Linked DNA regions of Pelodiscus sinensis. The main gene of each other region encodes a partner of the protein of the gene in region 3 in a complex. Links are inferred from orthologs where the notes say so. Each region holds a gene or a part of one and is shown on either strand. Other genes may lie near its edges. The genes, in order: DENND1B, ACAP2 and RAB35.

Region 1 (7,916 bases), on a different chromosome or scaffold from region 3:
TGAGGCAAATATCATAGGCTGGGCACCTAATTGGGATATTCATGCTTGTGTTCTCCTTTTGGAGAATTTTGAATAGAAATTGTCATATTGTAATTGTTCAGCATTTACAGTTTGGAATAGTGACAGACTAGCCTGTGTTTCAATTTCTCTATCTCACTGAAATCAAGAGCAAAACTGCCAATAAAACAAGTATTTAGCCCTAAGAGATGACTCAAAGTCTGTAATGTCTCTGTGACGGGCCGGCCCCTGACCAGGGGCGAGGGGAGCGGAGCCCCCGCCGGCCGTCACTCTCCCGGGGGCGGGGCGAGCGGAGTCCCCACCGGCGGGGTTCTGCCGGCCGGCCCCAGACCCCCCAGCAACCCCGCAACTCCAGCCGCCGGGGGTGGCAGGCGGGGGCGCTTCCCCCGCGCTTGCGCCGGCAGCTGACGGGCGGCTCCCCCCCCACCGGGCCACGCAGGGAAGGCGGGGCCGGGGCTCACGGCCACTGGCGAGGGCTGCCAGCGGGGACGTGCCCGGAAGGGGCGGGGCCCCGGGCGGCGGCCGGCGCGGCGGGCCAGTTTAAAAGTGCCTGCCGCCGGAGAAGCGGGGCACAGGCTCCTCGCGGCGGCGGAGGAGCAGCCCCCACCACAGGACGGAGCGTGAGCGCCACACAGCCCGGCTACCGGCCCGGCGCTGGTCCCGGGGCCTCCGGGACAGCCACTGCCCCTGGCGAGCACTCAGCCCCTCGCCAGACGGCAGGAGGACCCCACCACGCCGAGTCAGGAGGGACCGGGACGGCCAGGAGCGCGCCAGGGCCGGAGAGCTCACCCCCGAGACTCCACCGGAACGTGAGACGCCACAGACCGCGGAGTCGAGGTAGGCGCCAGGGCGACGGGGATCGGCAGGCGGACCCAACGGGAGGGAGGAAGGAGCCCGGGGCAGGGCGCTTCTGGCGGCCGTGGGTGGACGGGCCACAGGGGGGAGAATCCTCACCCCCCTCGTCCACCGTGCCGGGGCGCTAGCGGCCCCGGCGCTCAGGGCCCCGGGCTGGGACCCGGAGAGAGGGCGGGACCGGGTCCCCCTCCCTCCACACGGGGAGCGTCCAGCACCCGACAGCCACACTAACCGACAGGGACCAAACTAGAACCCCGGACTGGGGGAGGAGGACCTAAGGCTAGGGGCTCCGGCCCCATCCCGCTCGGCGGGTACTCACGGCCCGGGGTTTGCTGACCCCCCCTTCTGGCTGGGAGGGGGTGATCGCACCCCCAGGGGCCTGGACTCCACATTGGCGGCCCAGGGACAACACAGGACAAAAGGAGGACCAAAAGGGGTCCGCAGACCCCCCCCTCGGACCGGGAGGGGGTGATCGCACCCCGAAACCCTCACAGTCTCATATTGTTTTAGATTAAGCGACTAATGCTGTGCACATCTTCCAGATGAATCTAGAAGGGGCAGCCCTGCTAGTCTGTAACTTTAAAAACAAAGATAAGTCTTGTGACACCTTAGGGTATATCTACACTGCACACTTATTTTGAAATAAGCTATTTTGGAATTGACTTTCCGAAATAGCTTATTTTGAAAAAGCACGTCTATACACAAAAGACGCATTAAAATAGCACTTAGCTATTTCAAAATAGAGCATCCACACTGATTGGACACTGACTGACATTTAAGGCCACCCGGAACCACTTAAGGCAGGGCACCAGGTCAGCAGTTATTTCCTGGAGCTGCTGCCTGAAGCTATCTGAGATGTGAGCTTAAAGGGACCCCCCTGGACAGCCATTTCTCAGGTTCAGTCAGCGGCTGACTACAGGAAGCCCGAGGCAGAGTTGCTCTGCCCCAGGCTTCCTGGAATCAGCCGCTGATCAGTTTCAGCAGCAGCTGACTTGGGGACGCCTGCGTTTCTTAAGTCGAATCTGTATGTAAGTCAGAACTGGCATCCAGATTCAGCCGCAGTTGAAACTGATGTTTCAGCAGCGGCTGACGCCAGTTCCGACTTACATACAGATTCAACTTAAGAACAAACCTACAGTCCCTATCTTGTACGTAACCTGGGGACTGCCTGTAATGCTGTTTTATATATTTAGTATACAGGCAGTCCCCGACTTACGCGGATCCGACTTATGTCGGATCCGCAGTTACGAACGGGGCTGCCCCAGAGTACACGGACTGCGGGACCTCGCAGACCAGGAAGACGCAGAGCAAAGCCGCGGAGGGGCTTGGGCAGCGAGGCACCCCAGGCGCGCCTGGACTGCCCCGCCGCCGGCTTCCCCGTGCTTTGCAAAGCCGCGGGGGGGGGGGGGACTCGGGCAGCGAGGCACCCCAGGCGCGCCTGGACTGCCCCACTGCTGGCTTCCCCGCGCTTTGCAAAGCCGCGGGGGGGGGGGGGGGCTCGGGCAGCGAGGCACCCCAGGCGCGCCTGGACTGCCCCACCGCCGGCTTCCCCGCGCTTTGCAAAGCCGCGGGGGGGCTCGGGCAGCGGGGCACCCCAGGCGCACCTGGGCTGCTCCGCTGCCGGCGTCCTCAGAGGCGCTCCCCGTCTCCCTGGTCTGCTGGTCTCCAGCAGACCAGGGAGACGGGGAGCAAAGCCGGAGGACCCAGGCGGCGGGACCGCGCAGCATCTCGGTCCGCCGCCTGAGTCTTCCTGGTCTGCTGGGGTGGGGGGGGGGGGGGCGCAGCTAGTACGCCCCCCTCCCCCAGCAGACTAGGCTTTTCTCCGGACGCCTGTGGCAGAGCAGCTGGGGTGCTGCCAGTTGGTCCCGCAGCGCCGCTCTGGGCGCTACTGGTGCAACCCAGCAGCACCCCAGCTGCTCTGGTCCTGATTCAGCCACTGCTGGTCAGTTTCAGCAGCGGCTGAATCAGGACACCTGGGGCAGAGCAGATGGGGTGCTGCTGGGTTGCGGCGCTACTGGAGCAACCCAGCAGCACCCCAGCTGCTCTGCCCCAGGCGTCCCCAAGTCAGCTTCTGCTGAAACTGACCAGCGCTGACTACAGGAAGCCTGAGGCAGAGTTGCTCTGCCCCAGGCTTCCTGGAATCAGCTGCTGATCAGTTTCAGCAGCAGCTGACTTGGGGACGCTTGGGGTTCTTAAGTTGATTCTGTATGTAAGTCAGAACTGGCGGTCAGTTTCAGCAGCGGCTGAATCTGGACGCCAGTTCCGACTTACATACAGATTCAACTTAAGAACAAACCTACAGTCCCTATCTTGTACGTAACCCGGGGACTGCCTGTAGTTGGGAATTTGGCTACACAGACCACGTAAGATGAATGGGACTTGGGGCCTTCATAGGGCCAGCTTTGTTTTTATCACATTCCAAACTCCATGGGATTGCTACCATCCATAAAGATATTTGTGTATAAGGGTTTGCAGGATTGGCAATTTACTCTTATAATTTCTTCTCTGGGATTACTGGTTAAGAATTTGGGGGTACAGTTTGTTTAAAATGTAATACAAAGCTGAACTAACAGCATTATGGGCTAAAATCAAATAATTAATTTTAAAATTATCTTAAAACCATTATAGTCCCCTCCCTCCTGTAGAAGTACCAGACACACCATGGTAATAAAATTATTAGTTTATAGCATAGAATGGCCTTGATCCTGATCCATGAGTCCATTCATATAGTTCAGCTTAAGGAGTCTAAATATACTCAACAGAGCTATGCAATATGTTCTAGAAGAGATAATGTGATTGCCAGAATAACTGCACTATTTGCAAACTGAATGGACCAAATTAATCTCTGGCATAAGATCTCCCCTAGAAGCAAGTACAAGTCACACTGGTTTATGGAAGGGCTATATATTATATTGACCAACAAAAATACTCTCAGGAGTATTTTTCAAATTTTTCTTTCAACTACATGCTTGCTACTCCATCTGAAGTTAAAGGAATTGTCCCTTAGAAAGAAATAGGCCCTAATTTTGAAAATACACAGAGTAACTTTGTTTGTGAAGAGCTGCATTGAGTTCAGTGGGACTACTGGCATATATAATTGTTTACACTATTAGGTTGTAGAGTATGTCTCTTCTATTGCCCTTTTCCTGTATGCTGCAAGCTGGCCCATATGAATGGACTCATGGGTCAGGATAACGGCCTTTCTACACTATAAAGACCAAATAGTGCAAGTCATGTTTAACATTGTGCACTGTAAAAGTTGCATTGACATCTGACTCTTATCAAAGCCAATATGGGACTATATTTATAGTGAATAAAGGTCAGCATATATTTATCTCTTTGCATGACTGGAGTCCGCAGGATGAGGCCTTGGCTTAGAGAGCCAGCTTTCTGGAGGGGAGAGAGCAGAGCAGTCACTGATTAATGAAGCACTTCTGAAGTCCTTTCTGTGGGGATGGAGGGTTTTGCAATGTGCTTTAGTGAGGGGAGATTTTAAATATCTGACTCACCATTTTATTTCCCTTTCCCCGTTTTGTTGATGTGTGAGCATAAATGCTATGTAAGACTATGAACAACCTGAGAGAACCCAGGGCAGAAGGTGCTGGGAGGTGATGTGCCACGAGCAGAAGCGTAGCTGTCTCTTTCTAAAAACCGGAGGGAGGAACCGGACCCAGTGGTGGGGTTTTGTTTCCTCGTTCTTCGCCCCAGGAGAAGGAAGCGTTCCTACTAACGAAAGGAGAAGTTCAGGCAGCCCCTTGGAAGAGAGGCGGAGGGCCGGGCAGGGCGCTTGTGTTTGGAAGCGCACGGCCCCAATGGGGGGACGCCACTAGGCAGGGGTCCGGCAGTGGAGCCGGGGCCGGGCCCTAGGACAGGGACGGAGCAGGCCCTGGGGCCGGGCAGCCCTTACCCCGCAGCAGTTCAGCCCCCGCGCCACACCCACCCGGGGGCGCTAGGCAGGGCCACCCCGGGAGCGGCCGGCGCAGGTGACACCGCCACTGGCGGCTGCTCCGGCCCCCGCCGAGCTTCCTGCTTCCCAGAAGGTGCCGGCGCGGCGGCAACAGGAACTGAGGCCGGGAGGAGGCGGTGCCGCCGCTCCCCGCCGCGCTCACGGCCCGAGCCGGGGGAGCGGAGCCACCATGGTTCGTCGCCAGCAGCCGCTGTAGCCTCCGCACCCCCCCGCCGGGGCCGGCGCCCCCTCCCTGCCCCGCCGGGCGAGGCGTTTCCCGGGGGGCGCGCACCGGCCGCCGCGGCCCGAGATGTGACCATGGACAGCAGGATCAAGTGAGTGCGGGCGGGGCGGCTCCGGGGCTGCGCGGGAGGGAGAGGGCAGGAGGGACTAGGCCGCAGAGCCTCCCCCAGCCTGGCTCGCCGGCGGCCAGACCCCCGGGGCATGACGGCCAGGAGCGGGGCTGTCACGGGAGTCCGCACCGCAAGCCCGCTTCCCCCGCAGGTGGCACCCTGGCTGCCTCCCCGTGGGCAGCTGGTGGGCTCCTCCCTCCGGCCCCCCATCCCAGTCACCGGCCCTCACTGGAGAGGCCATGAATGCCGCAGCCCTCCCCACCAGGAGAGCTTGTCAACTCCCTGCCCCGAAGAAATCTCTCCCGGCCTTGTCACCCCCGGGGAGAGGCTGTAAAACACTCACTGTCAAAATGACCCCCCCCCCCCAACTTCAGTCTCGGAGACATGCACCTTCCAGTGAGCCCCGCTTGGGAAACCCTTTATCCCCCAGAGGAGAAGATAAAGATAGATGGAGCCTTATAATAATCTCCATCCCACTGAGGGAGTCTGCCCTAAAAGTGGGAGGACTGAATGGACCATTGTTTCTGCCTCTGGGAGCCTATGGCTTTAAACTTCAGGGAAGTCAGTATCAGCCCAGTGCTTGGTATCTACTAGACTTCTCAGAAAACTGTCCATGGTGATTTGTTATCAGGTGGATTGCAAAAAACCAATACCCAACAAACTTTTATATTTATGCTTCTGTGTTGATTGTCTCTTTGTATCTATTGACAATAAATAGGGATTTAAAAATATGCCTGCCATATGTGTGAAAATTACAGGTGAATGAGTCCTGTTTTTGAGTAACAGCCACAAAAATAGTGCTTAAAACTAATAACATTAAAACAGTGGATGTTGATAAATATTCTTCTATGGAATCTAACATCTTTCTCTTTAATTATTTAAGAAAATGACTATATTTTTCAAAACATTAACAGAATAATTCTGTCTTGGGAGAATGTTAATGTAACCTAGCTGGGTTGATAGTAACTTTGGTGAAGTTAATTTTTTTTGCCTATTGTGAGTAGTCCCATTGACTTCCTTAATTTGGTAACTGATGAGACATTAAATCTGTATTTTGTAAATGTATAGTGATCTATGATGAGTAAGTGTGCTGCTGTTGAGTAGCTTTATAGAAATGAGAATCAGTCTGACATACATCAGACTAGTTTGACATATTTCTTCACACGTCTAAGTCTAAGCAACACCTTGTATGTGGGAGGTGAAGAATAAACCTAGAACTTTTCTGAGGAAACAGACTTTGTGATTGTGTACTGAAGGGAGCAAACACATTTTCACATGCTGTGTCATTGACTGTAAATTCAATTAACTTGAACTCTGAAGTCCTAATCCTGTATTTGAGACACAGTTTTGATAGAAATGGATGAATTAAATCCAGCATTCTTACTTTCCACTCCTTTAAGGAAGGGACAAAAAATGAGAGACAAGAGTAAACACACACCTTGGATTAAATTTAATCGAACCCTTTCATGGTACAGGAATTCCACTGTTTTCACTTTCTTACCAGTTTCGTTCTCATTTAAATGAGTGCAACTCTAATTAGACTAATTTTGATTTTGCTAGTTGAGAGGAGAAACAATCATATTTTCTGTTACACTCTTGTAAGTCTCCAGTAATATGACTTTACATTGGTATTACTGAGAGCAAAGCTTAGCCCCATATCTGCAGAACCAGCTCATTTAAGATCCTCTTTTCCAACTGAATAATTTAAAAAGTGAGGTGCGGAAGTAACATGATGTGGTAAGATATATGATTGATGCTCAGAAATTTAGTATTTCAGTTTTAATAAAAATGTATATCATAAATGGTTGATGAAAAAATAAATGATAGAAAATATATTAAGTAACCGATGAGTTAGAAAGTTTCCCTCCAGTCCAAAATCCCCCTAAAACTTTTTTAAAAACATGTATTGTACTATCAATCTGTGATATGCTTTATATGCATCATTTTAGAAACCTGGAGCCCAGTCTTGAATTCCTTATTTGTGGAGAATTGCTGACTTCAGTAGGAAAGTTACTCAAGAAAAGAGTTCAAACCTGGGCCCCTCATGTGGTTTCTTAGATAACTAATTGATATGGTTGAGGTTATAATTCTTGCATTTAATATAAGTACAAGTTGAAACTCTCTAGTCTGGCACTCTGGTCTGGCAACATGGTCTGGCATGATTTTAGTTAGCGGAATGTCCACTTTTCATGGCTGGGATCATGTTTTTGGTGGTCCCAACAGGCTTGGCTCTCAGTCTTGGCTCTTGTTCTGTGCTGTTATTTAGTGCTAATTTACCTCCAAATGTCTTCTAAGAGCCCAGTAAGCAGCAGAAGTGTTGGTAATGCTACTAGACAATATTGACCTCCCATGGTTTGGCAAATTCTCTGGTTCAGCACTGGTCAGGTCCTGAGGGTGCTGGACTAGAGAAGTTCAACCTGTAGTAGATTGCTCATTAAAATAATGATATAAATAATTCAGAAGAATGAAAATAAATTAGGTTCAGATGCAACTGTTAACATAATCAAGAAATTACTGAAATGTATAAGTTTATTCACGGACAGAGAATGCTAATAATGGCACTCATTTGTGACTGTTCTGTTCAAATAATTATTTAAACTGAGGCTAGGGCTGGGCAAAGAGCTATCAACCAGCAAATGTAATTATAATTATTAGAGTAATTTTTCTCACTGGTTGAATTGTTGTTTACAAGAGTTAGTCCTTTAAAATGCCATTGGCAGTGACTTTTTTAAATGATTGGTATG
Region 2 (7,540 bases), on a different chromosome or scaffold from region 3:
GAGTTATGCTCTGTATGGCAGCTTCTCTGCCATCCCAACAGCATGGGAGCATATATACGTACAGCTGCATCTGCCATGCTACTCTATAGCCATCTAGGAGCAGGTGTGGGATCTGCTTGGTTATCCTGTAACTGCTGCTGCCAGCGTGACGGATTGTGCCCTTCTACTGCCATATTGGATTCTGTCCTTAGGCCAGTGGTTCTCAACCTTTTTGATACTGGGGACCAGCAAATCCAGTCACAAACTTTCAGTGGGCTGGTATAATTGTATTTGCATATTCATTATATAAATGATGCATATGCAAATAAAATATTACTGGTCCACCAAAAGCTCAACCCCCAGTGCCAGTCCTAACTCCAGAGCCCCCCACCCTTCCACTGCTCCCCAGCGCCAGCCCTGACTGCAGAGTCCCCTGCACCCAAGCCCCCTAGTGCCAGCCTCCCACTCTGAGCTACCCAGTGCCAGCCGCCCATCCCAAATGCCTGACGTCCTTCACCACCAGACCCCCGTATGAGCCCCTTGTTTCCAGTGCCCCACTGCATCCAACCCCTTCAGTGCCAGCCCTCCACCCCTTCGAGTTCTCCATCACCTCCCACTACCACGAGCCTCCTGTTTCCAGAGCCCGACTGCACCCAACCTCCCCCCAGAACCTCCCCCAGTGCCAGCCCCCTGTATTAACCCTGTACCCAGCACTCTCTTGGCATCCATAGCGCCCCCTGCCCCACTGCTAGCTCATCCTCCAGAGTGCAGAGAAGCGCTCTTCTGTGCCTGGGGGAAGACCCAGCCCCTGACCAGTGCTGTTTGGCTGAGAAGCGAGGCAGGACACGCCTCTCCCAACAGCCATGGTGAGAGCGGTGTACCCCAGTTGCAGCCCCCAGAACTGCCGTGGCCTGGAGCCGCTGCCTTAGGCTAATCCCTCATCCTTGGTACTTGTGGGGTAAAGCATGTGGCAGAATAGTTTGTCCCATGTGGGTCAGTCCCCCTTGTCACACGGCATGGCCGCAGAAGCTTCTGGAGGGTCTGATACATGCGCATACACCCAGCATACACGTGCGCCATGGGGAGGAAGTGATTCTGAGAAGAAGTGATGCTTGGGCACCAGCAGCTGAAGGAGGAGATGGGGGAATGCTATGACTTTCTGCTCCTGGACACCAGCCAGAGCAGTAGCTGCCCCGCACTTCCTGTCCTTTAACCTGGCCCGGGAGCAGGACCTGAGGTGGTAGCCTCCTGTGGGACTGCCCCACTCTCATTATGGCACTGCAGTTTGGGGAGGCAGTGTCCGCTCATGCCCTCCTAACTCTGCCCCTGGGCTCCTCAGGTGGGGGCACTGGGGCTCAGGAACCCCCTGAAACCAGCTCCTGGCCTGCCTGAGGGCTGCTTTAGGAAATCTCATCTGACCTGCATACAGCCCAGGTCATTCCATTTCACCCACACATTGCCGTGTTGAGCCCATAACTTGTTTAGCTAAAGCCTGTTTCAGAAAGGCATCTGGTCCTGATTTGAAGACAGCTAGAGATGAAGAATCCAACCTTTTCCATGCTTGTTTTGTTCCAATGGTTAGTCACTGTCACTCTGTTGTATTTCTCATTGCAATTTGGCTCCAGTTTCCAGCCCTTGGTTCTTGTTATGACTTACTATGCTAGATTAAAGAACTCTCAATACTCAGACTTTTCCCTGTAAAAGTTGTCACCTCTCGATCGCTGATGAACTGACCAGATGGAGTTCTGTTTCAAATCTTTCCCTGGAAGGCATTTTCTTCATTCTGGAATCATTTTAGTGGCTCTCTTCTGTACCTTCTCCGGTTTTTCAATGTCTTTTCTAAAACACAGACACCGGAACTGCATGCAGCATTCCAGTGTGTCCGCAATGCCTTCTTCCAAGCAAATACCACCCCCATGTTTGTGTGCATCCAAGAATTGCATGAATCCTTTTTGCCATAGCATGACGCTGGCAGTTGATATTCAATTGCTTGTCTGCTGTGACCCCTGAATCCTTTCCAGAATCATTGTGTTCCAGACCTGTGTTCTGCAGTGATTACCTGCATTTCTTGGTCCTAGATGTATAACCTTTCACTTTTTGCTATACTAAAACTCATTTTGTTTGAATGGGCCCATTTTACCAGGCAGTATTGGCCACTCTGCCATTCGTTGGCCATGTCTACACTGGCAGGTGTAAAGTGCTTGCAGTTGCAGTGCTGCTCCCAGAGTGACGCAGGGAAATTTGCTGTTGTGTCCCCACACTGTGCTTCTTGTGATGGCTGCTTTTACCACAGAAGTGAGAGAGAGAGAGCGCTTTTACAGCAGAAGTGAGAGAGAGAGAGAGAGAGAGAGTGTGTGTGTGTGTGTGGTGGGGGGAGACAGTTTTGGGGATGTCAGCGTGCTATCTTGTAAGTTTGGACAGGGGAAGGAAACAACCCCTTCTGAGGCAGTGGGAGGGGGAACCTTGACATCTCAGCCCCTCTTTGCAGGGCAATCTCTGTCTCTCTCTCATTCACTTACACGCCTGCCTCTGTTTAACAGTATGAGCTTTTCATCTGACTGGTTTGCTCTATCCATGTGCATGCTTATCAGTATGCACAACTGGAAACTGTTTCATACAAAATACTTTGTGTAAGGTGTCATTTGAATAATGGTAATTTACTGAATATGATTTTCCCGCTTGTATGCATGTATCATTCCTGTGTTGGAAGTTAGAAATATGACGTATAAACCTGTATTACTAATATAGGTATGAATGATGAGTGAGGGCCATTAAGGGTATTCAGAAATGTGATGGCTAATAAGGTCATTGATCTGTAAGTGGGCCTGTCCATAGGTGGAGCTGAAAGTCCCCACAGGAACATGTGTATTATGTCATTTGATAGGGGTGTCCATCTTCAATGTAGTATTTTTTCACATGGAGGGAGGCTTGCCAGCAAACAAAGCCTTCCCACCTTCTGCACAACCCATTTCAGAGAGGAGCCCTTAAAGTTATGGGGGCCAGTTGTCAGGACACCACTGCTTGTGCCCCAAGATGACTGCTGGAAACCTCTAAGACTGAACGGGGGAAGGATAAAGCCCAGACTGGGAGGCTGTCCAGTTTATGAAAGAAGCTTTTCAGAATGAAGGTGAGAGATTCCCTGTAGACAGTTTCTTAGTGTACTGAGCTTAGCTGGAATGTTTATTTTGCTTAGAAACTTACTTTGTTCTGAGTGCTATTACTTACAACCACTTACATCTGGTTTGTACTTTTGTATATATGAGAGAGTTTGTGTGTCTGGTCAGTCTGTCCAAGAACAACTCAAAAAAGGTAAGAGCAAGGATCGCTACATTTGATATGCACCTTCCTCTTATTGTAACTTAAAGCAAGTTCAGGGGTTTTGTGCCAGGACAATGAGATTTGCATGGAATCCGATTATTTTTCATGAAAGTCACAGGGTTTAGGATTATTTCTCATAAAACGCTTGCAAGGACTGTTATACTGCAGAAAGAACACAGGGGACCGGGTGCACTGGTAAGAGTGGCTGTCTAGGAGTGGGACTTTGCATGTTGCTATATGTAGGTAAGGTTCCCATGCTGGCGAGCTGCTGGCTAGGCACTACCCACCCTGTTGCACCAGGCAGCCCTGTGGATTGGACAGCCTTCTGCGCCCCTTATTTCTACGCATCCCAGCCCCCCATATTCCTAAGCCCCTGCAGTGCCGCAGCCCTTCCTTAATGACACGAGCAATGCCAGTTAACATGCGTGTTTACTAATGAACCAGGATCACTAGTTTTGCTGGGCAGAGGGTAGCCGCTGGGCATCCCCGGGTGTAAGAGCGAGGGCAGCCACGGCACTGAGACATTCCGCTGGGCGCGGGCACCTGGCTGTTGTGGCTGAGCTGAAGGCTCGATTACAGGGCCGGGGCTGCGAGACCGAGCGGGGGGGCGTTTCACAAGCCGGCCGGGGCAGCGCGCTTCTGAGCCCGGGGACACGTGCCCTGCGGCCGGGAGCCTCGCTCCTCTCGTGGCCCGCGGGGCCGCCCCGTGCACGTGGGGCTGGAGGGACCCGCCCTGCCCCGGGAAGTGGCAGCGGGGCGGCCCCTCATCCCCCTGTTTCCTCAACGGTCCCGCCCGCCGTGCGTGGGGCCTCTGGGGCCGAGCCAGCCCCGCCCTATGCCTAGCAGCCCGGCAACGCCCTCGCTACCTTTCTCGGCGGCTGCAAAGCCCGCCCCCAGCTTTTCCCTCTCTGATTGGTCGAACTCACTGCCAGTCAGCAGTGAAAGCCGGCAAGCGGGGTAAAAGCTGTGACGTTGCGGCTTTCCCCTATGACCATTGGCTTGCTTGGATATCAATCATGGAGAAAAGGCGCCATAAGGAAGTAGCGGCCTGTCGCGTTCTGCGATTGGTTAGCTCTCCTAGTGGTGATTGCACAGGCGCCTCCAGTCTCCTGACTTGATTGGATACTTTCGTTGTCCGTCACCCCGGCACGCGAGCCGCAGGAAAGCCCGCCTACAGAAGCCAGAATTGGCCAAGCGTATGCATTCTGCTTTCCGATTGGCTGCCTGTGCTTGTCAGTCTCTGCAATGGGACAGGCGGCGATCGATCGGCACCGCCCCCGGCGCCCCGCCCCGCCCTGCCCCTCGCCCCACCATGAAGGTGGCCGTGGACTTCGAGGAGTGTCTGAAGGACTCGCCCCGCTTCAGGTGAGGGGGGGGCGCCTGCGGGCCCGTATTCCGCGGGGCTGGGCCCCCCCGCTCCCGGCCCGGGTCCCTGCGACCCCCCCCGCTCCCCCCCCGCTCCCCGCCCGGGTCCCTGCGACCCCCCCGCGCCCCCCCCGCTCCCGGCCCGGGTCCCTGCGACCCCCCCCGCGCCCCCCCTCGCTCCCGGCCCGGGTCCCTGCGACCCCCCCCGCGCCCCCCCTCGCTCCCGGCCCGAGTCCCTGCGACCCCCCCCGCACCCCCCCTCGCTCCCGGCCCGGGTCCCTGCGACCCCCCCCGCGCCCCCCCTCGCTCCCGGCCCGAGTCCCTGCGTCCCCCCCCCGCTCCCGGCCCGGGTCCCTGCGACCCCCCCCGCGCCCCCCCTCGCTCCCGGCCCGAGTCCCTGCGACCCCCCCCGCACCCCCCCTCGCTCCCGGCCCGGGTCCCTGCGACCCCCCCCGCGCCCCCCCTCGCTCCCGGCCCGGGTCCCTGCGACCCCCCCGCTCCCCCCCCGCTCCCGGCCCGGCTCCCTGCGACCCCCCCCCCCCGCTCCCGGCCCGGGTCCCTGCGACCCCCCCCCCGCTCCCGGCCCGGGTCCCTGCGGCCCCCCCCGCGCCCCCCCCCCGCTCCCGGCCCGGGTCCCTGCGGCCCCCCCCGCGCCCCCCCCCCGCTCCCGGCCCGGGTCCCTGCGACCCCCCCCCGCTCCCGGCCCGGGTCCCTGCGGCCCCCCCGCGCCCCCCCCCGCTCCCGGCCCGGGTCCCTGCGGCCCCCCCGCGCCCCCCCCCGCTCCCGGCCCGGGTCCCTGCGGCCCCCCCGCGCCCCCCCCCGCTCCCGGCCCGGGTCCCTGCGGCCCCCCCGCGCCCCCCCCCGCTCCCGGCCCGGGTCCCTGCGGCCCCCCCCGCGCCCCCCCCGCTCCCGGCCCGGGTCCCTGCGACCCCCCCGCGCCCCCCCCCGCTCCCGGCCCGGGTCCCTGCGACCCCCCCCGCGCCCCTCCTCGCTCCCGGCCCGGGTCCCTGCGACCCCCCCCGCGCCCCCCCTCGCTCCCGGCCCGGGTCCCTGCGACCCCCCCCGCGCCCCCCCTCGCTCCCGGCCCGGGTCCCTGCGACCCCCCCCGCGCCCCCCCTCGCTCCCGGCCCGGGTCCCTGCGACCCCCCCCGCGCCCCCCCTCGCTCCCGGCCCGGGTCCCTGCGACCCCCCCCGCGCCCCCCCTCGCTCCCGGCCCGGGTCCCTGCGACCCCCCCCGCACCCCCCCTCGCTCCCGGCCCGAGTCCCTGCGTCCCCCCCCCGCTCCCGGCCCGGGTCCCTGCGACCCCCCCGCACCCCCCCCGCTCCCGGCCCGGGTCCCTGCGACCCCCCGCACCCCCCCCGCTCCCGGCCCGGGTCCCTGCGACCCCCCCGCACCCCCCCCGCTCCCGGCCCGGGTCCCTGCGACCCCCCCCCCCCCCGCTCCCGGCCCGGGTCCCTGCGACCCCCCCCCCCCCGCTCCCGGCCCGGGTCCCTGCGACCCCCCCCCCCCGCTCCCGGCCCGGGTCCCTGCGACCCCCCCCCCCCCGCTCCCGGCCCGGGTCCCTGCGACCCCCCCCCGCTCCCGGCCCGGGTCCCTGCGGCCCCCCCCGCTCCCGGCCCGGGTCCCTGCGGCCCCCCCCGCTCCCGGCCCGGGTCCCTGCGGCCCCCCCCGCGCCCCCCCCCCCCGCTCCCGGCCCGGGTCCCTGCGGCCCCCCCCCGCGCCCCCCCCCCCCGCTCCCGGCCCGGGTCCCTGCGTCCTCCCCCCGCTCCCGGCCCGGGTCCCTGCGACCCCCCCGCACCCCCCCCGCTCCCGGCCCGGGTCCCTGCGACCCCCCCCGCACCCCCCCCGCTCCCGGCCCGGGTCCCTGCGACCCTCCCCGCTCCCTGCCCGGGTCCCTGCGACCCCCCCGCGGCCCCCCCGCCGCTCCCGGCCTGGATCCCTGTGACCCCCTTTCCCCCGCGGCCCCCCCCCCCCCCCCGCCGCTCCCGGCCCGGGTCCCTGCGACCCCCCCGCGGCCCCCCCGCCGCTCCCGGCCTGGATCCCTGCGACCCCCTTTCCCCCGCGGCCCGAGTCCCTGTCTTGCCCCGCTCTGCCTGGTGAGCCCGAAGGGGGAAGCGGCGCTGGGGAGGGGCCGGGACAAGGCGCGTCGCGGGGGCAGCTGCTGCGGTGTCAGGGGCTGGCTGAACTGAGCCGGCGGTGGGACCGGTTTGGCTCGTCCCTTGCAGCCCGACCACAGACCACTGCTGGGTTTAAAAAGTAGCAGCATGTTTAAAACAGCTGGACGTGTATCCGCCCTGAGCAGTAGTTATTAGCGAATAGTCAAATAAAAAACGTCTGCCCATGGGGTCTGATGTAACTGTAGATCTCTTCCAGGAAACCTGAATAAAATGAACTTGTTGCAAGAGTTCAAACGCGGTGGCAAAAGTGTTCAAGTCGATCACTGCTGTTGTGAATTTATTTTCCAGCTCTATTGAATAGAATAGCATGGGGACTCTGCCGTTTCTGAACTACTGTATAGTAGTTCAGACTGGGCAACAAAATGGCAGATGAAATTCATTATTGATAAATGCATATTGGAAAACATCCCACCTATATGTATAAAATAATGGGAACCAAATTGGCTGTTATCACTTGAAATAATTCCTCTTGAAATCATTGTGGATGGTTCTCTGAAAACATCCAGTCACTGGGTAATGGCAGTAAAAAAAGCTTGGGAATCATTATGCAAGAAATAGATTGTGTCTAAGAATATCCTATTGCCATCTGTCTCTGTGTGTGATATCATGGGGACCATTCACCCAAGAGTTCTGAAAGAACTCAAATGGTGGTTTGTAACCTATCCTTTAAATCTGCTCCTGTACCTAATGACTGGAAGAT
Region 3 (7,420 bases):
TGTGCACATGGCCTGGAGATCTTTAGTAGCGGTCCCTTGCCATTGGCGCATGCTGCGCTATTGTGTAGTGGCTCTGATTGACGGTTAGGCATGTGCTGGAGATCGTTCCCTCAGTTCCTTCTCAACCGCCACTGGCAGCAGTCCCAGTAGCAACAGTCTTCCTAGAAAGACTAGAAAGAAAAGAAGAGTATAGCAGGACAAATTAACCGAGGATAAGCCACAGAACACCAGGAAAAAGTGGAGCGGGGCACCAGTGCCGCTGCTGCATCCCACTCATCTGCGGCACTGTTTGATCATGGCACACACTTATGGGGACATGGAGTGGGTGTTACACTCAGCAAGACAGTTATTCAAGATGCTCAGGCTCCTATTGAACTTGGACAAATGTTCCCTCACTCCTACACAAACACTGGAGTTTATAGGAGCACAGCTGGATTGCACCAAGAGCATAGCATCATTGCCAATCCACAGATGGGAAAGATTATGTGCCTTGATCGCGTCGATACAGAGTTGCCCATGCACCTTGGTGCGTACATGCTTGCAAATACTCAGACACATGGACATGTCCATGTTTGTAGTCTTACACGCTCGACTACATATGAGACCATTCCCAGTATGGCTAAGCTCTGCATATCAGCCCAGACACCACGTGATCCACAAGGCATTCTATGTACCCATTTGGGTCAAAGCCACCCTGGATTGGTGGAGAGACATACGCAATGCATGCCTGGGGCTTCTGTTTCAGGCAACAATGCCATCCATCACTATCACAACGGACTTGTCCCTGCTGGGATGGGGAGCCCACAGCAGGAGCATGATACAGGGACAATGGACACAACAGGAGTCCCGGCTCCATATCAATGTGTTGGAGCTCAGGGCAGTCAGACAAGAGTGCTCCCAACTATTTTAGCACATACAGAACAAAACAGTGAGAATAATGTCAGACAATACCGCAACGAATATTACATAAATTGGGCGCGTGAGATCGAGCAGCCTATGTGCGGAAGCTATGAAACTGTGGCAATGATGTATTATACACAACAGTAGGTGTAAAATACAATACACCAACTGCAATGCATTTACCAGGCAAGGACAATGTATTAGCGGATGACCTCAGCAGACAATTCCCAGAATCATGAATGGGAAATCAACAAACCCATCATAAACAACCTTTTCAAGAAATGGGGTTATCCAGTAGTGGACTTGTTTGTGACTCATGCCAACTCCAAGTGTCCCCTATACTGTTCCAGGGCAGGCATTGGACCATGATCTCTCAGGGATGCATTTGCAGACTGCTGGGACTTCCCATGGCATAAGCATTTCCACCTATACCTCATATACAACAGACAGTATTGAAAATCAAACAGGATGCAGCAAGGGTCAGACTGGTAGCCCCCAGTTGGCCGAGACAGATCTGGTACCCTATCACACTACAACTCAGTACTCGTCCCCTGTACAAGTTCCCACTGGTTTGAGTGCTGCTGACCCAGGACAAAGGGCACATACCACATCCTGGACTCCACACCCTAGATCTGCGAGCATGGATGCTTGTTGGCTCTCAAATATGAATTAATGATGTCTCATAGGGTCAGAGATATCCTGGTCAATACTAGAAGACCCACTATGAAATGGACTTACCTGCAGAAGTGGGCCTGATTTGAAGCCTGGAATTGGGCTCAAGCACTGAATAAGGCAACATACTAGAGTATAATCTAAATAGGATGGGGATAGCGGACATACTAGAGTATATTCTCCATCTGCAGGACACAGGACTATCAATTAATTTTCTCACTGTCCACTTGGCAGCCATATCTGTGATACACCCACCTATACAGGGCTATTCCATTTTTTCCCACCCGTGTGTGAAGAGATTTTGGAAAGGGATACGGAACTTTTATTCACCACAGGAAGACCCAGTACCATCATGGGACTTGAATTTCATGCTGGACTCGCTCATGAGATGGTCTTTTGAGCTGCTCACAGCTTGCTTGCTGCTCCACTTCTCAATAAAAGTAGCTTTTCTCGTAGCGATAACATCAGCTAGGAGAGTGGGAGAGATAGTGGCACTCATGGTGGACCCATCGCACACGGTGTTCCACAAGGACAAGGTCATCCTTAGAACCATTCCGAAATTCCTGCCCAAAGTACCTACCTGGTTCCATTGTAAGGAAGCAACGTACTTACCTGTGTTCTTCCCAAAATCACACAAGGACAGCAAGCAGACAGTGCTGCACATGCTGGATGTATGTAGGGCACTAGCCTTTTACCTCGAATGCACAAGAGACTTCAGACGCACTCCCAGACTCTTCGTATCATGGATGGACAGGTCCAGAGGTCAATTGGTTTCCAAACCAATGAATATCCAAATGGATTTCTACAGGCATACAACTGGCTTACACCCAGAAACACAGACAGCCAACAACAGTTATATGGGTGCATTCCACGAAAGCAGTAGCTAACACAACTGCTTTCCTCAAGGGTCTTCCCATAGACATCATCTGCAGAGCTGCAACATGGGCTTTGGACAATACCTTTGCACAACATTATGCTAGTCAGTCCTTTCAGGACTCAGATACTAGATTTGGACATACCATACTTTCCAACATCCAACCCTGCAATACGGAGTGCCCACTGCCAAGCAGGAATACTGCTGTGTAGTCACCTAAGTAGCGCACCCCCGGGGACCCTCAAACATGGCTACCCCTCTGATACTTGTCACCTTATGCAGTAACTGGAGTTCTTTGAGACGTGTCCCTATGGGTGCTCCACACCTATCTTCCTCTCCTCTGCTCCGGACTAACACGATCTGGTGTGGAGAAGGAACGGAGGGAACGGCTGCTGGTATGTGTTTAACCGTCAATCAGAGTGATTGCACAATAGCACAGCATGCGCCGGCAGCCAGGGACTGCTACTAAAGATCTCTGGGCCGTGAAGAACTCCCGTTACTGTACAAGAAAACTTCTATAGAAAAGTAACATGGGAAAATATTGTTAAAGCAAAGGCTTCTATGAAATTTTGGTTATCTTGTCAGTCCTCTCTCCCAGTTCTATGAAAGTTTTAGTCAGTGAAACTTATTTTGCAATTGCAAAAGGCACTAAAAGCGTGCTCAGACTGAAACCTCAGGGTGAGCTACACTAGCAGAAAAGATAAAATACCACTGTGATCTTCATCTCTGGGGGAGGGGGGGGAAGGTCACAGCAGGGCAAATGGATGGAACTTGGTGTTGTATACCTCTAGGTGAATGGATAAAGGTTTAATTGGGTGTAGCTGCATACAAAAGAAAACAGCTCTGCTGTCTGCCTCACTGGACCAAATCGCCATATAAGAGTAGGCATAGCCTCCTCCTTTTACCATGCAGGCCACACCTGTTTAGCAAACAAAGCAGCAATGCACTCTCTCTCATATACTGGACTCTGGGGCTATGTCTACACTGGTGTGTTCTCACGCAAAAACTCTTTTGCGGAAGAGTTCTGCAAAAACTCTTCCAGAAGAGAGCGTCTACACTGGCATGTGCTTTTGCACAAGAGCATGCGTGCCAGTGTAGACACTCTCTTGTGCAAGAAAGCTCTGATGGCCATTTTAACCATCGGGCTTTCTTGCACAAGAAATTCATGTTGCCTGTCTACACTGGCCTCTTGCGCAAGAGCAGTTGCACAAAAGGGCTTACCCCTGAGCGGGAGCGTCAGAGTTGTGGTGCAAGAAGCCAGTGTAGACAGGCAGCAAGTTTTTGCACAAGAGCGGCGCTTTGGCGCCAGTGTGGACACAGCCTTGCAGGGGGGGGGGGGGGCTTGTCCCAATGCTCAGTGGGTTTCAGGGGTGGTAGATTTGTTTATGATAAAATGGGGGGGGCAGGCTGGGAGGGAGGCGCATGCCAGAGCCCCCACATGCCCCTGGGAGGCGGGAGCCCAACCGTCAGGGGCATCGCTAACGGTCGTGGCTGGTCTCGAGGCCAGGTGGGGAGGGGGGAGGCCGCGCGCCAGAGCGGAAGGCCTTTGCTGTGGCGCCCTCTGTGGGGCGCTGGCAGGTGAGACGGGCCGGGCAGGGGACCTGCCTGAGGAAGACAGTGGGGGGAGGGGCACAAGCGCCCGACTGAAACGGGCGGCAACCCTACTGAAGAAGCAATTTTTTTCCCCCCCACCGGCGCTCGTGAGAGCGCATGCGCCCTCGCGTCACGACAACGCATGCGCCCTCGAGTGACAGGGCGCAAGCGCGCACATTAAAGGTCGGGTCGCTGGAGGAAGCGAGGGTTGGTTCAGAGTGCGGGCGAAGGGGCGGGGGAAAGAAACCGAGACAGGCGATGCGCATGCGTACTTGAGCGGCCGATCTGCTGGCGGTCTCCGCTCCCCAGCTGCAGAGCGCGGCTGAGGTGGTGCGCATGCGCAGTGTGGGCATTTGTGACTGAGTGAGAGAGAGAGTGTGTGTGTGTGGGGGGGGGTGGTGTTGCTGCCGCTGTCAGTTCCGGCTGTTTGTTCGGGAAGTGGATCCGGCCCGGAGCCGCCGCCGTCTGAGGAGACCCCGCCGCCCGGAGCCTCCGCTCCCCACCGGCCATGGCCAGGGACTACGATCACCTCTTCAAGCTGCTCATCATCGGCGACAGCGGTGAGGGGCGGGGGGGCGGGGCCGGGCCTCTCCGGGGGGCGCTCGGCGGGGCCGGGCCGGGAGGGGCTGGTGTGTGCGGGGCGGTGCCGCCGGGCTGGGGAGGGGGCCGGTGCCTTGGCTGAGGGGCCGGGAGGCTGAGGGGCCAAGGCAGCCCCGGCCTGCGGTGGGCTGGCCTGGCTGCCTGTGGGGTCAGGTGGTGCCTGCTCAGGCAGGAAAAGACTCGCAGCGCCTCTGCCAGCGTCCTAGCCGCCGGTGAGTTACAACGCATCCTCCCCCCGCCAGCGCTCCTGGGGGGGCTTCTTCTGCACGCTGGGCCTGGGGCTCATCGCTTCTCACCGCTGGCCCCTGTTGAGGCCAACAGCCGCTCCAACGCAATGGAGGCCTTTGTTTTCACAGAGTGGTGTAACCTGTGGAACTTGCTGCCACAGGATGTTGAGGCAAAAAGTTTAACAAGATTCAAAACCGTGTCAGACGGGCATATAATAAGTAAGGATAATGTCCGCATTTACAGTAGCGAGGGTAGACTTTACAAGGGCAATCAAACCTCATGTTTTCAGGGCATAGGCTATTCCCTAGCTGGGATCAGGAAGGAATTCCCTCATAATATAACATACAATTAAGTACCGTCAGGGTTCGGCATTTGCTCAGAAAGCCCTAAGGAGTGTTGTTTCCAGTGCGTCAATTTTTAATTTTCTAACATTTAAAAAAGGTTTTCTTTAGATATGCCTTATTGAAGCTGTGTGTGTGTGTGTGTGTGTGTCAATGTGATCTTTAAAATGGAGGCGTATGTTCTGGATGTATATGTTTCATTTATAATCATGGATATCCAAACACTTAATCTGTTAATTAAAGATAGGGGAAACATCTGATCCTTGGATTTAAAAGGCTTTGCAGAGTTTGAAACACTTTTGAAGGGTAAAAAATTGAATTTACTACCTGTCTTGTTAGTTGATCTATTTTGCAGCTGCCAGAAGTGGTGGATTTCTGTTTCTCTATAGAGGGTTTCCAAACTTCACCCAGTCGAATTCCATAATTGCAGCCCTTCAAGATCCTGAAACTTAATTTAAATAAAATTGAATAAATGGCATCACTCTCATCTTTTAATAAAGGTGTGACCTGTAAAGATAGCAGGTCCCAATGTGTAGTGTGGCATAGGGATGTCAAGAGGTGGGTAACTGACTAATTGTATAGTTACAATTTGTATTGGCTACATGATTAATTTATAAGGGACGGTGATCTTTCCTGGCTTGTGCTGGTCCATGAGCTCCTCCTGCTGCACCTCTGCAGTTTAAATGTAGTAAGAGCCAGGTGCAGGTGGGGAGGTAGCAAGTAGTTGACAACTTGACTACTCACATCCCTAGTGTGGCATGGATAAAATGGATTTGGATAAAAATGGAGCTCTACATGATCCTAGGAATTGTTACCTCCACAAGCTTGCAGATTTCTATCAAATGTGGTGAATACAGTAATTCTTCATTTACCACGTGCCCACTTAACACGTTTTCATGATAGCACGATTTTTTTTAAGAGAACATTTTTTGAATTACACTACCATCCCCGGAATAACATGATTTCCCCAGCCAGCCCGTTGCTGGTGGCTGTGCAGGGCTTCCCTTGCTTCCCTGCAAAGCGGTGGAGGGTTCACGGTTTGCCACGCCATTCCCCGCTGACTCCACCTCGCCGGACGCCTTACCCCCTCTCCTCCGCCCTCTCTTGCAGGCCAGCGGCAGGGTTTCCCCAGCCAGCCTGTCACCGGTGGCTGCGCGGGGCTTCCCCCACCTCCCTGCAAAGCGGCAGAGGGTTCGCTGCGCTGTTCCCCAGCGCTCCCTCCCTCCCTCGCCAGATGCAGTTCAGGTCCTGGCAGACTCGTTACAGGGGCATACTCACAACCCAGTCTCCCTCCTCTCTCCTACCCTCCTCTTCCCCAGAGCCAAACACCTCCCCTCCCTGCTGTAACCCAGTCCCCTTTCTCTCCCAACCTTATGTCCCAGTCCCAACAGACACAACCACTTGAAACACAACCCCCACCTTTTCCATTATTTTCAATGGGAAAATTGACCCCGCATAACACGTTTTCACTTAACACGATCATTTTCTGAAACATATCTATAGTGTTAAATGAGGAATTACTGTATATAGCGCACTGTGGCTACCTCATTGTTGGCCCTATGGCCACAAGAAGGGTAGGGCTCGAGTTTACATAGACCCTGTTTTAAAGGTAACTTTTTTTTAAAAGGGGAATTTATTCTAAGCCCCAGTATGTCCTGGCATACTGACTGCTTTACTAGAGGAGAGAGATCTAGTTTAAATAATTTCTGTCTTGACTGCCAGTTGTTTTCTAAACCATTTAGGCAGATTTCTAATTTAGAGACCTATAAGAGGAAGATTTTTTTTTTCTTTTGGTTAGTTAATTCCTGTTGATGGGATTGCTTAATTTGGACAAAGCCCCTAAAAACCGGAGCATGTACAGTGTCAGAAACTGTGCGTGACCTGATTGTGAGAAGACCAAATGCCTGCATTTCTGGGTTCTAACAGTTAAATCGATTGTAGAGCTACAAATATAGATTGTTAGTGGTTTCTCTTTAAACCCAAGAAGAAGGCTTTGCCCCAGTTTCCAGAAACATTTCACTTGCATCGTTCATTGATCCTCATAGAAAAGCCTCATATTAGGAAACGTTGGATGGATCGTTACATTTTCTGCTTTTCCTCATATGGAATTATGACAGTTTAGAGGACAGTAGGTTTCTGTATTTAAGTGATTTTGAAAATGTGATTGGCCTCCACTGTCTAAGTTGTGCCAAAATTAAAAAAAAAAAAAAAA

Evidence for each region.
Region 1: the proteins of RAB35 (region 3) and DENND1B are in contact, whole or in part, in a crystal structure (PDB 3TW8), measured with the Homo sapiens proteins. The link is inferred for Pelodiscus sinensis from reciprocal best matches to the Homo sapiens genes RAB35 and DENND1B. Residues at the interface, in NP_006852.1 of Homo sapiens: Lys10, Leu12, Ser17, Ser36, Tyr37, Ile38, Thr39, Thr40, Ile41, Gly42, Val43, Asp44, Phe45, Gln60, Trp62, Thr64, Ala65, Gly66, Arg69, Phe70, Arg71, Thr72, Ile73, Thr74, Ser75, Thr76, Tyr77, Arg79, Gly80, Thr81; in NP_001182144.1 of Homo sapiens: Met1, Arg4, Glu43, Ser47, Phe51, Val72, Leu73, Thr74, Asp75, Ile76, Glu77, Ser78, His211, Glu212, Arg213, Arg214, Gln242, His243, Ile244, Ile246, Leu249, His252, Leu253, Asp255, Tyr256, Cys258, Ala259, Pro260, Met261, Pro262.
Region 2: the proteins of RAB35 (region 3) and ACAP2 are in contact, whole or in part, in a crystal structure (PDB 6IF3), measured with the Homo sapiens proteins. The link is inferred for Pelodiscus sinensis from reciprocal best matches to the Homo sapiens genes RAB35 and ACAP2. Residues at the interface, in NP_006852.1 of Homo sapiens: Arg3, Asp4, Tyr5, Leu8, Ile41, Gly42, Val43, Asp44, Phe45, Ile47, Lys58, Gln60, Trp62, Phe70, Arg71, Thr72, Ile73, Thr76, Arg79; in NP_036419.3 of Homo sapiens: Val715, Ala718, Asn719, Ala720, Asp721, Val723, Thr724, Arg727, Leu728, Arg730, Met731, Glu734, Met735, Ser738, Glu748, Thr749, Gln751, Arg755, Asp756, Gln759, Met760.

The regions. Positions count from the first base shown.
Region 1 is NC_134719.1:46,151,427-46,159,342, forward strand, and holds the start of DENND1B (DENN domain-containing protein 1B), read left to right. Parts: upstream 1-4,823; 5' UTR 4,824-5,137; coding exon 5,138-5,154; intron 5,155-7,916. UniProt on the Homo sapiens protein: Guanine nucleotide exchange factor (GEF) for RAB35 that acts as a regulator of T-cell receptor (TCR) internalization in TH2 cells. Acts by promoting the exchange of GDP to GTP, converting inactive GDP-bound RAB35 into its active GTP-bound form.
Region 2 is NC_134720.1:55,155,404-55,162,943, reverse strand, and holds the start of ACAP2 (arf-GAP with coiled-coil, ANK repeat and PH domain-containing protein 2), read left to right. Parts: upstream 1-4,383; 5' UTR 4,384-4,495; coding exon 4,496-4,662; intron 4,663-7,540. UniProt on the Homo sapiens protein: GTPase-activating protein (GAP) for ADP ribosylation factor 6 (ARF6). Doesn't show GAP activity for RAB35.
Region 3 is NC_134725.1:9,362,107-9,369,526, forward strand, and holds the start of RAB35 (ras-related protein Rab-35), read left to right. Parts: upstream 1-4,257; 5' UTR 4,258-4,547; coding exon 4,548-4,599; intron 4,600-7,420. UniProt on the Homo sapiens protein: The small GTPases Rab are key regulators of intracellular membrane trafficking, from the formation of transport vesicles to their fusion with membranes.